Neodiprion lecontei: one gene and its partner. The protein of the gene in region 1 interacts with the protein of each later gene in a pairwise test. Links are inferred from orthologs where the notes say so. Each region holds a gene or a part of one and is shown on either strand. Other genes may lie near its edges.

Region 1 (7,972 bases):
CCCTCGACCAGAAACCTTGGGTCCCCGACGCCGCCCCACTTGGTCTCGCACTCCTTGATGGCGGTCAAGGGCAGGAAGTCGCTGAGGGCTGCAACGAGCTGCGAGGCCCTGAGACAGACCTCGGTGAATCTGTCGTTGCTCGGCATCGCGTAGGAAGCAAGAGTCTCCGGCATCCAACCTTTGGTCGCAGCTAAGTCTTGATTCTCCCCGCCGCATCCCGTGATTAATACTCTTAAGGGTAGACTATAATAATCTATGGTCGGTCGGCCCAGTCTTGAACTCGTTGAGTCTATGTAAAAGGTGAAGAGTCGCGGGTATTGGAGGCCCTCACAGCTCAGAGTCTTCGCCAGCGTTACTCGACCCGTGTGCGGATGCACCTTCAGCAGCTTCCTCGCGAACCATGCTGTCCTGTCCACCGATGCTTCGTACTTACGCTTACCTCCGAGCTGAGGCACTCCGGCCTCGAATACTACGGTTCCAGGTTCTAAACTCGACGACAATACCGCCAAGTAGCCTTCCGCGAGTGGCCATAGACCAAGAAGGCACAGAAGTATCCATATTGCTCTTGCCATGTCACGTCGCGGTCCCGATACTCTGCATCATATATTTGAACATCTTATTCCTCTAGTCTCCATTTTCACTCCGAGCAATGATCCGCATTGTAATTATCGCGTGCCGATTCGATATCTGAAACAAAAAGGATGATCCAACGTCATTCGAGTTATCCTCAAGTCTCAGGATCCCTCGTTAACGTTATAGTGTAATGACTAAGGTACAACAGAGTGGTTAGCATTCTACTGTGGTCTTGTTTGTTTCGCCTTTGTTTCAACTCGGATGAACTTATCTCTGTTCCAATTCATTAGTTCTACATTACACGGACGGTGTAAAATGGACATGGAGAGACATGTTCATTTAGAGATTGGTTCGACTTTCGCATTCAGTCTTCCGAAAGAGTTGGTAGGTGAAAACCGTTGAGTCGTTACAAATGGAATAAAGTTGGTTAAGTATTGTGGGCAACGAGGTATAACATATGGATACCGCACGCGTGATGCGAGTAATAAAATTATCGTGCCTGTGTGTCGAACGTACACCTCTACCGGCGAATCTCGCGTGTTTAGGGAAATTTACGACTGCAAGACGACGGAATAACGCGCGCAGCGGGGAAAGAAACGACTTTGAAAGTTTTCGGTTTACATGCGAGGTTCGGGTGTAGCATGGGTGTTGGGCAGCACCTGCACACGTATAAAAACTACGAGGATGAGAAGAGACGCGTGGGTATTATTTCGACGGGTCGAGTGACTCCGGTCCGAAACACGAAACGAACGAAGGGAGAGGAGGAGGACTTTGGAACTATTAATTACGAAGGAGGCGGCTGACTTGTATGGAATCCGGTCCGTCCAATTATCTTAGGGCCGCTTGGCTGTAACTTTTTCGGGATTTAGGGTTTCGGTGGGTTTTCTCGCCCCGCCGAATCGACGAGTTTATTAAAACCTTCGCCTCCTCTTCCATATCCTGCACCAATGGACGACGCGCTCGCGTGCACCGAGTGCACGATTCGCTGAACATTTCAGATTTTCTTTTTCTCTGTCTCAACGTATAATCATAGGGGAAAAACTCGTTTATGCATTATACAAACACCCTGCAACGCGTCGCCGTGCAGGCTAGACGAATAGCAGGTGGAAACTCGGACTCTACCTGCATCTCAAATACGTGAGTATATTTACGTAGGCGCATATTACTATACGAACTTGGAAGCCTGTTACGCACATAAAGGCTTTTCTTTTTTTTTTTTTAATTAACACTTCTTTGATTTCGTAATTTCGCATCTGTGTTGTACAAATTCTAATACGTAACATTGATTAGCTATGGATTCCGAAAAGCGTGCGATTTTACCGCTGAAAAAATGAAGTCGAAAAAACTTAATCGATATTCTAGCAATCCTGCTACTGAATTCTTCTCGTGACTGACGTGAAAGCCAGACGGTATTTTAGCGATTTTTAAAGAGCAGAGTGTCGGGAAACAAAGATATGAAATATGTTTAGTAGCAAATGGTATTCGGGTGTCGGCGCGGTTATACTTTCATTTAATTATATCTATATCCTCCAACGTTAAACTCAACGAGTTGTTCTGCCGGTGGTGGTATAAACAGCGAGCAGCAAGCGAGCGGGAGCTGTGAATAAACATGGATAAAAATCGTTTCTAGATTAAGTTTCGAGGGAACAACTTTATAGGAGAACGCTAATCGTCGGTTGGAGGAATAACGTTCAGAGGAACAGGTTTCAGGCGTATAAATTCCCCCGTGAAACGGCGTGGCCGCAGTTTTAAACCCTTCATCGGTATTAGCATATCAGTTTATTTTTTATTTATTTTATTTTTTTATCGCATACTCATGCTGAGCTTGAACGTACGTTTAAATACAGACATGAAAAAGGTAAGATTCTCGAAAGATATCTTAATCGCGTTTTGCTCTCGCTATCATTGCTACATTTCTGTAATTTCTCTCAAATATTCAACTCCTTGCTACCATAGTTTCGTTATATTACTCGCTTTCAACACACATCGCCGGGAATATTTAAATCGCGCACGCATATACGTGATACGCATTCAAACAATGAAATGTGAATACCCGTCGTTTGCTGTACCTTGTATGTCATGTGAATTCTATGTATATGTACATCTACGCTCGTTTCACCCAAGCGCACGCGGGTTAGATATCGGACATGGCTCTGGCTACACGCTACAAAAGAGTACCACCACTTCAGCGAGGGTGAGTGACTCATGTATTGCTCCGACGTCGGGACGCCGAGCGTCGAAATATCGATCTTCCTCCCTCGAGCGAGCCAATGAACGAGGGATGCGTCAACGGCACTCGCCTCGCATCGCAAATCCCAACTTTTATCGCACAAAAAAAAAAAGAAATACAAAGAGAGCGCGAGGAAGGGTGAGCGTTATTGTATTTTTTTTCATTTGCCTCGTATCGACAACTCGCAACGCGTGCCCAGAATTTGACGAACCGGATTTTTTCTCTTCGAATTTCGCGCTCGTTCCCCGTCGTTGCTCAACTGTTTTATTCCAAATTTCTACGAATACGAAGGCTACGCTCATCTGCCTCTGCGTGAAACGAATACCGGTTCCTGACGTTACAGTTGCCTGCACCCTAGGCGTTCTACTACAGCGATACGCGATACCTACTCGTCAAATAAACTATATCAAGGTGGAAGGAAACACCTCATTGAGCTATGCCTACGGTAGTGGCAAGCAAGGATCGGGATCACGGCACGGCTCGTCGCAACGGAATCACAACAGAGCGTAAGACATCATCTCTACGCGTACTATTTTCCACGCATCGATCACTCACTTTACCGCTCGGGTAAACGAATCGATGCAAATTTCGACTTCTCTGGGCTAGGCTAACGGTTGTTTACTTTTTCAATGCTATGCATTTACTCATTGAATACATAGAATACCCACGGCACGGTGCATTCCCGGCAAGCGCAATCAGTGTTTGAAATTCACATTGTCCTGCAGCGTGTGAAATATTGTACCGTTGATTATGCCTTTCTTTCCTACTTCGAAATCGCCATAGAGGAATTCAATATTTGACCATATACCTGTGCAGAAGTTTTGAACCTTTAAGAACGAAAATAAAATCTTTATAATCCATCGGTTAAAATGAGTCGCGTGATTCGAATGGAATGTATATAACGCATGCGGCGTCGATCGACTTAAAAACAAAAGACGCCCGTTTTTATACCGTGCTAGTAAATAGCGAACGTTAAGAAAGCAAGTAGGTGCATAGGGGCTTTGTGCATCCGGTTGCAGCAGGCGCGTTCGTATATTCTAGTTTCGCAGGATCATTATCCTCGAGGGGAACGAGCCCTGTACGCAATTAACGCGGCAGGTATTTTTTGTCGTGGGAAAACGGAGGCGGCGGGGTTCGAGTCCCGGACGGTGAGCGCGTACGCACGAATGGCACACACGCCACTGCACGCATAAGATGCCATTCAAAAAGGTCACTCACCGCCCCCTCAAGGCCGTCCAAGTCCTGGCTTGTGTCGGGTCAGCTCACATTATTCCTGGGGACGAGAATTCGCGCCGTTGATAATTTTCCACAACCGGGAAAAATCCGCGATTCGAGATTTCCGAACGAAAAGTGCACGCTGAGAGACCCTCTCTTCTCTCATACACCGAGCTCACTCCCCGCTCATCTAACGTCAGGTCGTGTTAAACCACTACACGCACTTCACGCACTACACAACCACTTGCCGCGACTCCAGCTCAACTCCCGGTCATTTCTTCTCTTCGTACACACGGTGCACACGCACTTCAAGACGGGGATATTCTACCTCCGTGCAGCACACCCGTCGAACGGTCATAAGATACCCTGGAGTACGGCCAGCCGATCCTGACGGAACGGCGTCGACGCACCTGGCGGCTCTGCGAACAACCAATGCGTGGATAGCTTTATTTTCGTTTGCAGATTCCTGCGTTATCGACGTACGCGGTCCAACGCCCAGCGGCTTGTTGCAGGCAACTTGTCGTTCGTCCCTGTATGCTTTGCCCCTTGTACGTGATTACAGATTGCTTAACAATACCGTCAGATCATTCTCATCAACGGCATCGTTAATCATTATTCTCGAAATGATGAATTTTAATGCTATGAAATGACAGTCAACAGGTATGGTTTGGATGGCCAAGATTATTAGGAATTGAGAGTTACATTTTGCACGACCGTAACGGTTTTGTTGTCAATTTGTGTGTGGTGTTGCGTATTTTTTAGATACGTTTTTCTCGTTAAGTAACCGAAAAAAAATACTGAAAACGTGAAATTTGACAATCAGCGGTAGCAGAACGTGAATCAACACATTTACAATTAGTGCGAGCAGCCGTTGACTAATCTATATAATTGCTTTTGATGATCGGCAATTTGAACGATTAGAATTGTTATGAAACATATAATTATGTAGAGGCGTTGACACACAAAAGATAACTTTAACCAATGGGATATCAATGTATGCATAATATTCATTTCCAGGGCCGGCGACTTAAGGAATCTCAGGATTTCGGAGTTCTTTCAGGTGATTTACGGGGTGAGGGGGATTCGACAAATATGGAGTTTTTGTTTTCATCACAAAATTTAAAATGAATAGATCTGTCTGAAATTCTTCACACAAGGATAGTACGTGTATTGAGAATAAGTTGCAACCTTTTCGCAGCGAAATCAATTTTCCGCGGAAGGTTCTTTGAACTTTCATATTTTCTCGGTACACATACTACCAAAAGCTGAAAAACTGCAGAAATATTGTTTAGTTGAATTCTTTCATTTATCTACAGAATAAAAGTTTGACTTACGTTAAAGTTTCACCGGCCTTTCGTTTTTTCTGTAAGAGCTAAATTAGCGTATTATCAGTCGGCATGGGGTTCTTCTACACTTCGTGTAAATCTAGCAGCAAAATTTTGAATTTTCAACAGGCTTTTCAGGGTATGAAATTTCCACTCCGTGAGTAATCAGGTTGTGGAGGTCTCTACACTTTCTAGACAAACGTCGCCAGCACTGTTCATTCCAATGTAAAATGCAAACACACACGAACATCGATCAGTTTGTATTATTTACACTGAAATGCGATAAGGCAAGTGCATGCATGTGTAATATAGTTATCATGCCTTGCTATATTCATACCCAGCAAGCATCAGAGACGGGTCAGTGTAATTAGCCGTAATGTCGTATAATTAGCTGTAATTATACAAGAAGACTGACAATTAGATTATTCAACCGGACATTTGAGAAATTTTCCACACAAAGCGCTGCTCACACGACGGAAAATATTGAAATATAATCGTTGTGGTGTAATCAAACTTATTTTAATCGCTCAAAACAATGAAGACGATGAATGTATTTGCTGTTATTACTTTTTGCGCTACTGCGCGGTAGGAAATCGGTAGGGAAGATAAAGTGCGTATTTCTTGTCTGAAATGTAAAAACTAAAATCATTATACATCATATCATTTCGTCATACATCATACATCGTACAGCATACATAGTATTAAAGTTCAAAACGAAAGTTCGGATGTTCAGAAAGTGACGTCACCCAAAATTTTTTTTCTCTTGATATCATCGATCTATACAGACGAAAATCAGCTAGTTGAATTCCTCAGTCCGGAAACAAACGCGCAGTAGAGCGGACGTATGAGAACCGCGCTCCGCAGACTTCGAGTACCGCATTCTCTACCTCCTGGATCCTGCTCTCCTGGTCCGCTTCCTTGTGCTACTCGAGTTCTAGGAAAAGCACTCCAGCTACGCTACCTGGTGAAACTCGACTTCCAGGACAAGCGCTCCTTAGTTTCTGCACTCAGGGTCCGCGACCTGGTGAAATTCGTCTTCCAGGACAAGCGCTCCAGGTCCACTACCTGGTGCAACTCGACTTTAGGGACAAGCACTCCGTAGTTTCTGTGCTCAGGGTCTGTTACCTTGTGAAACTTGAGTTCCAGGACAAGCGCTCCGTAGTTTCGGCGCTCCAGATCCGCTACATGGTGAAACTCGACTTCCAGGACGAGCGCTCTGTAGTTTCTGCGCTTAAGGTCCAGTATCTATAGGAACTCGACTTTCAGGACAAGCGCTCCGTGGTTCCTGCGCTCCAGGTCCTGTGCGTAGTCTTTCAAATCTCTCAGGACTAAGCTGATCGTTCTGTGGTATTTTTTGACGAAATTTATTGTCATAAAATCACAATACGTTATACCCACACGCATGTGCAAACGTGATTTGTAGCATTATATAGAAAAAATCTTACGGGCAGAATAATGAAGAATAAACAGTACATATAACTGTTTTGTACTAACGTAGGAAAATACAATATCCAAGTGATATCGAGGCTCATTTAGAATTTATTGAAGCAAAAGACCGTACTCTTAGCCAAGTGTAGCACACCTGTAGAAAAGTATCGATTGAAGTATAGAAAAGCGGAAGAAAGCTATGGGTATATTGAAAACAGCGCGAGAAAACTATAGAATTAAAAATTACAGGTTCAAAAAGTTTCACTAATTAACGAAAACTATGCGATATACAATAAGAACTACACTAATCGTTATGGTGCAGAACGCAGAGTATAAATCGAGGTGGATGAATTTTGGGAATTTGAATCTTCGCAACCAATTATTCAATTCTATTGAGGTTCGTTTTATTCATGAGTATGTAGATCGAGCTTCGTGTACATTTTTTTTTTTCTTGTTTATTGTTAATATCAAATAATAGGATAATCAATAGTATAATTGTTACTGACAATTTAATAACGGTAACCACTGAGATCAGTGACATAATTTGTGGTGTCGGCGGTGCATTTGTTCGACTTGATATTGCGGATTGTATTGACTTTTAGTTTTACTGTAAGCATCACCGTACGTCTGACCGATTAAAAAGCATGAAAGCAGCACGTATATACTGCTTATTAAACGAATATTTAAAAATATACGATTCTAGCTACTGTAATCTACTATCCGTGTTCTATATTTGAAATTGCAGTTAAAAAATATTCATAACAAACTTAACGAATATTTAGACAAACACATAACTTAATAATAAATCGAACAAATCTGTAATCAGAATCTAGATCTCGGAATTAAAAGTAGGAATGAATGACGAGTCGTACTTTTAAGGTAAACTTAATTAAATAAATATTTTGTCATTTATTAAAAATATGAACAATCTATAACTTTTCATTCAATTAAATAGGGCATTTATTTATCAACAGCTTGATAACCTAGGCTGGTATCCACTCGATGATTTTCTTGATTTTGATCTTCACAGCAGTCTTCTGGGAGCTCCAAGTAATCATTACGATCCCTGTAAAAAAAAAATAATAATAACAATGTAATCATAAATTGTACCCAAATATACGGAGATAAATTAATATATCTATCTATATACATATGCAATTATAAAATAAATTAATGTTTTATCATGAAGTTTGTTCTTTTA
Region 2 (8,285 bases), on another chromosome or scaffold:
AAATTGATCATCCAATGACAGCAATCGCAAAAAAAAAAAAATGCAAGGAAAAAATTAACGATACTCCAAAGATTGTATTAAGAAATCTATAAAGATTCGTTAGAATCTGAAAAGGTCAGAAGAATTGGGATCCATACTATGGGTGTGAACAAAAGCAACATGGCATCGCAGTGAGCGATCAGCTGTTCGTTTCGGCCCCAGTTTAAGCAGAATCACATGGACGTTAAGAAATAGAAAAGCCCGTAAAAGCGATTACACTTTTATTTTGTCACATTGGGATGGCAGTGTAAAATATGTGTTAAAAAACTACTTTTATCATTAAATACAACTGGGTTAGCCTCTGTGGTACGTTTCCTGCCAGAAGATGGAATCTTTTGGTATTTTGGATCCCAATATAACTAAGCCTTCGATAATTAACGAATGACTAACTCTCAGCTCAAACATCACCAAGTTTTCGGTACCAAGAGCTTTATCTTTTCATGTATTAGGGCTATGCGATTAATCGATTGATCCTAGACTTCGATTAATTGGTTTTTTCCCGAATTAATCTTTATTCAACTTCATCAAGCATCCATGGTATTTACATGCTCGCTTGATCCTCCTTTGCTCTTGAATTTGGGTTTGAGCTACATCCAAGATCCAAATATCAGCATGTAACGAGATAATTGAAATAGGAGTGAAAAGTCACTCTCGAAATAGATTACGGTATTCTGTAGCAAGTCATAATTTTGACTTGTGCAAATCATTCTATAAATAAATATTGAGATTCCGGCATTTAATAATTAATTGTCATGGTTAAAATGGAATCTGTTGCCGCGATACTAAATATACAATTAATTCTAGTGAGTTTACATCTAAACAGACAATAAATGTGTTTGTTAAAGTGATTTTTATCACCTTCAACTTGTCTATAAAGACGATTTACGTTTTCGGAAAATGTCTTTTCGACAAGATCTCCAAGGAGTGAAAACGTGTATTTGAAAATATTATTCATATAATTTATCCTACGGAATTTCTATGTTTCTGTTTTTATGTCAGCAGTCAGGAAAAGTCAGATCTGTGCACAAACTAGCTTCTCGCGAGTTTTAGTCCATCAACTCTTCAAGTCTGACAATGATGGATACAAGTTACAAGTATGAAAACACTAACACTTATAAAATATGCTCCAGTACAAAACCTTACGGGCAAATCCTTGAAGATAAAACTTTCGCGGAATTACGATGGTGAGTTTAAATAACGTGCAATGATAAAATAACATTGTGTTAAACCTAGTGGTAAAACAAGAAAAAAATTAATCAGACTTGGTTAGGTAATAGCTGCTAATTATTTCACATATTAAAGCTACCCTTGTAAAAAAAAAGTGGCACGGGAGAGAGCGATTTTTAATCAGATTTTTTTCGAAGTTCTACTGCACTTATAGACAATAACGAATCAAACGTCATTTTGTCTTGTCGAACATTATCATGAAATGCGTACAACTTACTATCGTTGTACACACTATATCAAAGAAGTAAACCGCACCAGCTTGTTATAGATATTAAAAACAAAATTGCGATGAAAAATACTCGATATATGTATAAAAATTGACATGATTGTTGCATAGAAACCACTGGGAATGAATAAAAAAAATCTTGTTCAAACAGCAATGTTTGAATGACAGTGAAAATGAAAGTAAATGAAAATGAGAAAATATAAAACTGGTTTGATTTTGATGCGAAGTTATTATCAAGAGTCATTAATAGAAGGAAATGAATCTTCAAACATAAGCTTCGGTTCGCCGTCCCTGAATGCGGTTGAAAAATTGCCTCCAACTAGTCAGCGTCTTGCTTGACCAGACCCAAAAGCTACTGGTTATCCCGACAATCATTGCCATCAGATACTTGATCATGAAGACTTCAAATTCCGGACGACGACCAAGGTCGCGTGTTCGTTCGCCAACGGGACAAGGAATTGAGTACTTGATGCATTTTTCCGACCACCAATTGAGCATCCAATGATCGAAATAGGCTTGCTCGTAGAATAAACAAGCAATAACTATCAACGCAGGCACTGTGTAAAGCACAGAAAATATACCAATGCGAATCATTAGTTTTTCAAGCTTGTCTGTCTTAGTTCCGTCGTGTTTCATTACTGTGCGAATGCGGAACAGCGATACAAATCCTGCAAGGAGAAACGCCGTTCCCAGTACCAGATAGACGCACAACGGCGCCAACACAAAGCCTCTCAGTGCCTTGACGTTCCACAACCCCACGTAACACACTCCGGACAAGATATCCCCTGAAAAATAAAACAAAAATTTAATTATTGCGGCACGACTTTAGCATTACAAAATGCCAAAATACAAATTTGTATCCCCTCACTGACACGGGCTTAGATACGGTGAATTCAATTTCTCTGTTTGGATTTTAGGATAATTTGCACTCACATTTCACGGGATCTTGTGAGAAGATTGCATTTGTTCTGATATGCTAAAATCCACTATAAATATAAAAATAAGTGCACAAAGAAAGAATTTATTGAAACTGCCAAATGAATTTAGATAAAATGTAATAATTGTCTCAAGCTACGGAAGTTTAAAAAAATTGCTGGGCTGAATTCAATAAAACATAGTTGGAGAATTAATTAAGAGGTATATAAGAGTTGCTGAAAAAGTGAGTGTAATGAAAATGAATTTTCGCTGATTTGTGGAAAAACTTTGATATTGCTTGAAAATTTGTTAAAATTTTTCATAATTCTAGCTTTTTTAAAAATATTTCTTGAACTGCATTTTAAACTAATCACAACTGTTTTAAAAAACCTTTTATTAGATCTGAGCAATCCACCCCCGTCTTCTATTACGTAGTACTATAAGAACATAAGCAAAATACCAGAAGTCGGGGTTTCTTTAGTCTAGTGATGCAAAATATGTTCTGAACAAATATGAATTTTCTCTCTAAATTGGGCCAATTATCATCTCCAGCTCGACTTGATTAAAAATATTGAAAAAAAAAATATGAAAATTCAAATCATTTCAAATTTTTGTTACACAAAAAATTTCCGAATGTCTACTCAATTTAGATTTGAAAATTCTCAGTTTTTTCTCTGTTTCTCTAACTTATCATCTTTACATGTCGCGTTTCGCATACTGACCCTGTTATTCATAACATAATTATCAGATAGATAAATACTGATAATCGAGTGAATGCAGCAGTGAAACAAACAACTTGAAAAAAACTTATAATTTACCGTAGCAAGTAGGAACAATTGTGAACAACTAATTTATTTAAATTATAAATTGTGATTTATCAATTGAAAGATCTCATAGAACACCATAATTTACGAAATTTTTAAGAAGATCTGCATATATTTCCTAATAAATTTCCAGACATTTGCTTTACTTTTCTATACATACAAAAATCTTGCAACAGTTCCCAGTTTACATGGTTTTGATTGGTCAACGTGTGATTTCTAAGAATTCTTTTTTCGTTAGGAGAATAAGGAATAATATAAAATTTTTGAATGAAGCTGACGCTAGCAGCCAGGGTTCGCAGCCTGCAAACTTGCCGTTTTTATTAAATTAAAGCAGTCAGACTCGGTGATCAAAATTTTGTCACTCCTCATGTAAAGATACTAATATCAGAAAATCTTAGAAGTGAACATTATTAAATTACCCCATTTGTAACAAGTTTAATATACTTGGCTGCTAACTTTGACTGCTAATAACAGTTTCATAGATTCCAAGGCCTATTGATACTTACCCTCGACTTTCCCCATGGCAAGAATGGTGATAGTTTTGACGGCAGGAACAGCCCAAGCAGCCAAATGAAAGTACTGCGAATGAGCCTCGATCGCTTCGTGCCCCCACTTGAGTCCAGCAGCAAGGAACCAAGTAAGAGTGAGAATGACCCACCAGATGCTGGAGGCCATGCTGAAGAAGTACAAGACCATGAAAAGCACGGTGCACAATTCGTGCTTGGTCCCCTGCGTGACGGTGGATATCGTCTCGAACCTGACATTCAGAGGCGGAGAAAAGGGTTCGCGGCAGGAAATGGAGTTGCCTGCAGCCCATCCGACGACATAGACGAGGGCGACCATCAGATAGCAAACAGAGAGGAAGATGATTGGCCTTTCGGGATATCGAAAGCGGTCCGTGTCAATGAGGAAGGTCAGAGCGGTGAAGAAGCAGGAGGCTGCGCAGACGGAGGCCCAAGTGCCAACCCAGATTCTAGAGAAGCGGCGCTCTTTTGGAGTAAAGAACATGTCGTCGCAGGGTGCGCCACAGTTCGGCTCTGTGACATCCCCTACTTTAAGACTGTAGCCAAGGTCGTGAGGAACCTGGAACTGCATAGAGCAGACAAAGCCAAAGTCTCGAGCGCCGAAGAGGTCACTGCCATCGGATGGCCGGTTATTCCAGCCAGGATGATACTCTGCTCTGGGACCTTGGGACTGCGGTTCGATTGGTCTGGAAGGCTCGGTGGATGCAGTATTGTTGTCACCAACACAGATTTCGTCGTGACCGAAAACAGGGAACTTTGAGCACTCCAAGTTGTCCGGCCAGAGGAAGCCGAAGCGATTCATGAGTGACTCACAGCCAGCTTTTGCACTCTCACAAAGAGACCGGCAGGGCCGTATTGCCTTCTCCAATATCGTGCAGACCGGAACGTACATTGAGCACAGAAAGAATTGCAAGTCTGGGCTGCACTTTACCTTGACCAGTGGGAGGAATTGGTGTACCTCGAGACCCGCTTCTTCCTGCTTCTGGTGGCTCATCAGGTTCGGCATGATCGTTTCGTTGTACGGAATGTTCATGCACATCGGTATCGTTATCGGCTCGCATCGCCCATGATGTTCAAGGGGGTCTCGCGCGTGAAGCCCAAGACTCACGTTGACGACGTCCGCCACGATCAGGTACGCAAATAGAAGCGACAACATATTTAGACGCTTTTGCTACGGCGATCAGTAATTCGGAGTGCGAAAACCAACGACTGTGCTTAATATTTCCGTACGTCATACGCGGACATATTTCACTTTACTCCGAGCTATCAATATCGCTCACTTTATTAGCTGCATTTCTTTTGTATGTACTTAATCCCGTATGCATAAGAGTTCACCATAAACAATGCAAGGATTGTAAACAGACCCTTAACTACGAGCATACACTGAGAAGGGAACGACTAGCGCTTTGCTAAAATCAGTTTACCACAGAGCATATACTACTGGAGGTAGTATACACCCAGTGGTATGCACCCATTCCAACGACCTTGCAAAAAATGCGGCCGATGTGATGAGAGAGAGAAAGATATCCTCGGGTTTCTCCGTCTATTTCACTTTGCATTTAATTCTGTGGTAATAGAATGTCATCCGGTCTCAAATAAGAAAGTGGAAGTGGAAACTTGTATCACCCTATGGTATCACCCCGCTGCACGCGAAACTACCTCTTGTAGTATGTGCTCTTAACGTTTACAATCAACCCTACAACGGCTGCCACATTCCCTAGAAGTTAATCGTCTTTAAACTTTTGGACACGACAGAATTTACAGTTGTGCTTGTATAATCGCTGGAAAGGACAATTGTGATTTCTATCACTTCCAAAATTTTCAAACAATTTGACTACTCTATCAGTAAAACTAGAAGATTTTTGAAAAAAAGGGTCTGAAATGAGACCAATATGGTGGGTAATATTGCTGTCCGATGTAAGGCCGGATCGCCGGAATCCGCAGTAACGGAACAGAACGCAGACGAGATCTAGTGGATTTCTGAGTCCGTTCCGGGTTTTGAAAAATCCTGCCATCCCATATATATACCAAAATTTCATGGAACGATGGAACGATGTAGATTCATATTTGTGCTATTCGGGTTCATTTGTCTGTTTGGATAAAGATTTTGCATCACTGTATACAATTTATTTAATTAGGTCTTATGTCAAATTCATTTTTGTTCATACATGTATTTAATTATTTCATAAAATGAAAATTGACCCTCCGGAACTCTGTTCCGGAATTTGGGTACATGGGAAGCACTCACGATTAATAATCGCACTGTGTACAAACTCTTCTTTCGTATTTGTATATATACTACTCCTGCAGCGCTCGAAACAGAATGTTGTAATATGCGGATACTGGACGAATCCACCATTCCGTAAAAATAAAACGCGATAAAATTACTGGAACGCAGATTTTAGTGACTTTTCCGTCCATTCCGTTCCGTCGTTGCGGATTCCGGCGATTCGGCCCTACGTGGGGCAGCACCATAAAGCAGACCTGCTTTTCAAGAATCTTTGCAAAGGATATATTAGTGAGTGGGATGCATCATGGATGTATTCGAGCTCGAAGATTGTTAAAAACGGTTAACCTAATGGGTTTTTGTGTGTTTTATGAGATTGTAGATTTAATAGCTCCCGCCGATAAAGAAGCCACCGATCGCTGATACGGCTTCTTGTGGTCGATTAAGTCTCGACTTTTTTTTTTAAATGCTCCGTTATTTATATTATTTCCTTCCTTATAGATTTCAAAGAAATCAGCGAAACACAACTGCCTATATATCAGCTTTTACGGCTTCATCTGCCACGACCGTTATGATATTCTGCCCTCTGCATATGTTAAAAAGGGGAGCTTTCCAGCAACGACACAGAGCGACACAGTCGGACACAGCTGCGGAGCATGGTTGGACACTGTGTCGGATTCATTGCTGCCAATTTTTTAGTTAGAGATTTTATTTTCGACGCATGGTATTGTTTATATTTATTTATTAAATGCAATGATAATCTGCACGCGTTTCACAAATGTTTTTTTTTTCCTGGAGCGCTCAATGATCCTAGATTTTTCGTATAACGCATGAGCGGACTCTAGTGACTGAATTAAGAACCTCAGAGCGTTCCAACAAGCACCAAGGCACAGTGTTCGACCGTGAAACACAGTGTCACACTGTGTCTCCTTGCTGGAAAGCTCCTAAGAATAGTGTATCTACTATTATCGACCGGACACCACAGCATCTGTTGACTGAAGATTTTTCAGTCACGCAGTAACGTCTTTGCTTATTATGTGAATTATCCACAGACATTTTTAACAGTTTTTAATTCATTCTAGTCGTCATGCGCACAAGCACACGAATCAAATAAGCCGCATAACTTCGACCAATGATATTTTGATGTATCATCGGCGCAATGATGATAATAATATCAGAACACTAGAAGTCCGACAATCGGCGTGAACGGTTGTCAAGGTTCGTCGAAACGTATTCACAAAAAACAAATCATTTAGAATTCTCAAAACGTGTTCTTTCACATTCAAGTTTTTCAATTTTCGGACTCATCAACGATTACAATTAAATATACACATTTGAATGCAATTAAACAAGTAAAGAACAGCGTTCGGCAATTTATCTACACACTTAAGTACCACGAGTGAAAGTGATCATCGGTATGGCATTGAAATTAGGAAACTGTGCAAAAGGGGGATATTTAAATATCCTACAAACGGCTTTATCGCGTCATAAACACACAGGTCTCTGTTCCGTTTCAGTATCAAATTTTGTTTTTATTGTTATTGTATTTTTATTTTCCCAATGCATGGATTGCAGAAATCTGCAAATGATTGACACCTGAATCCTTAATATAATTATAAAGTTGTAAATTTAAGTGAACATAATTATCACAGTAAAACTCAATTTTCAGCTGTACTTAGTGGAGATCTAAGAAATAGCAATGAAAACAACCAGAAGAAAAGTCTGCATGCCTCTGCAGTAAAGTCCTACCCATCTGCTCCCACGATACCGCTACCCCAGAACATGACCCAGATATTTGGAAACGAAACGGGTCGTTTCACTCCGGAGAGAGCACGAGATATAACGGGACCTATATTATTCTGCCAGGCAAATGGGCCGGCAACTTGTTCCAATACTAGATCAGAAGGTCTTAGTCTTGGGGACTGCACGACCCAAGATAATCCCGAACACTCGTACACTGATTCGTATGATTGTACTGGCGCCGTGAGTCTCAATGGATCTATGCAGAGCAATGTTCCGCAGCCATTTTCCTCCGAGGGTAAATCTATGCACCTCAATATGCCCGGCGGCATATGGTCCAGGGATGATAAATACATCGCCTATGATATGCAGAACTCACACTATTCCAAGAGCAAACTCTGCTTGCAGAACAGAAGTAGTACTACCAAAGGTTTGTGATAAAGACACCAATGTTTAAAACTTTAATTTATAAACTTGATCACTGAATATTTCCAATTCCCAAATATTCCTAAAAAATATTCTAGCAATTTAATAGCAGCATATTAAAACCAGCTTCAATTTTT

What was found.
Region 2: the proteins of protocadherin-like wing polarity protein stan (region 1) and frizzled-2 interact in binary tests that used the Drosophila melanogaster proteins (3 or more experiments, as listed by UniProt). The link is inferred for Neodiprion lecontei from reciprocal best matches to the Drosophila melanogaster genes stan and fz.

What each region holds. Positions count from the first base shown.
Region 1 is NC_060263.1:37,739,670-37,747,641, reverse strand, and holds the start of protocadherin-like wing polarity protein stan, read right to left. Parts: upstream 4,416-7,972; 5' UTR 4,022-4,415; intron 688-4,021; 5' UTR 573-687; coding exon 1-572. Other genes in the region: cystinosin homolog, read right to left, coding at 7,732-7,837. UniProt on the Drosophila melanogaster protein: Involved in the fz signaling pathway that controls wing tissue polarity. Also mediates homophilic cell adhesion. May play a role in initiating prehair morphogenesis. May play a critical role in tissue polarity and in formation of normal dendrite fields.
Region 2 is NC_060261.1:11,922,979-11,931,263, forward strand, and holds the start of frizzled-2, read right to left. Parts: upstream 5,139-8,285; 5' UTR 4,912-5,138; coding exon 3,738-4,911; intron 2,278-3,737; coding exon 1,757-2,277; 3' UTR 1-1,756. Other genes in the region: uncharacterized protein LOC107217846, read left to right, coding at 7,400-7,481, 7,652-8,152. UniProt on the Drosophila melanogaster protein: Receptor for Wnt proteins.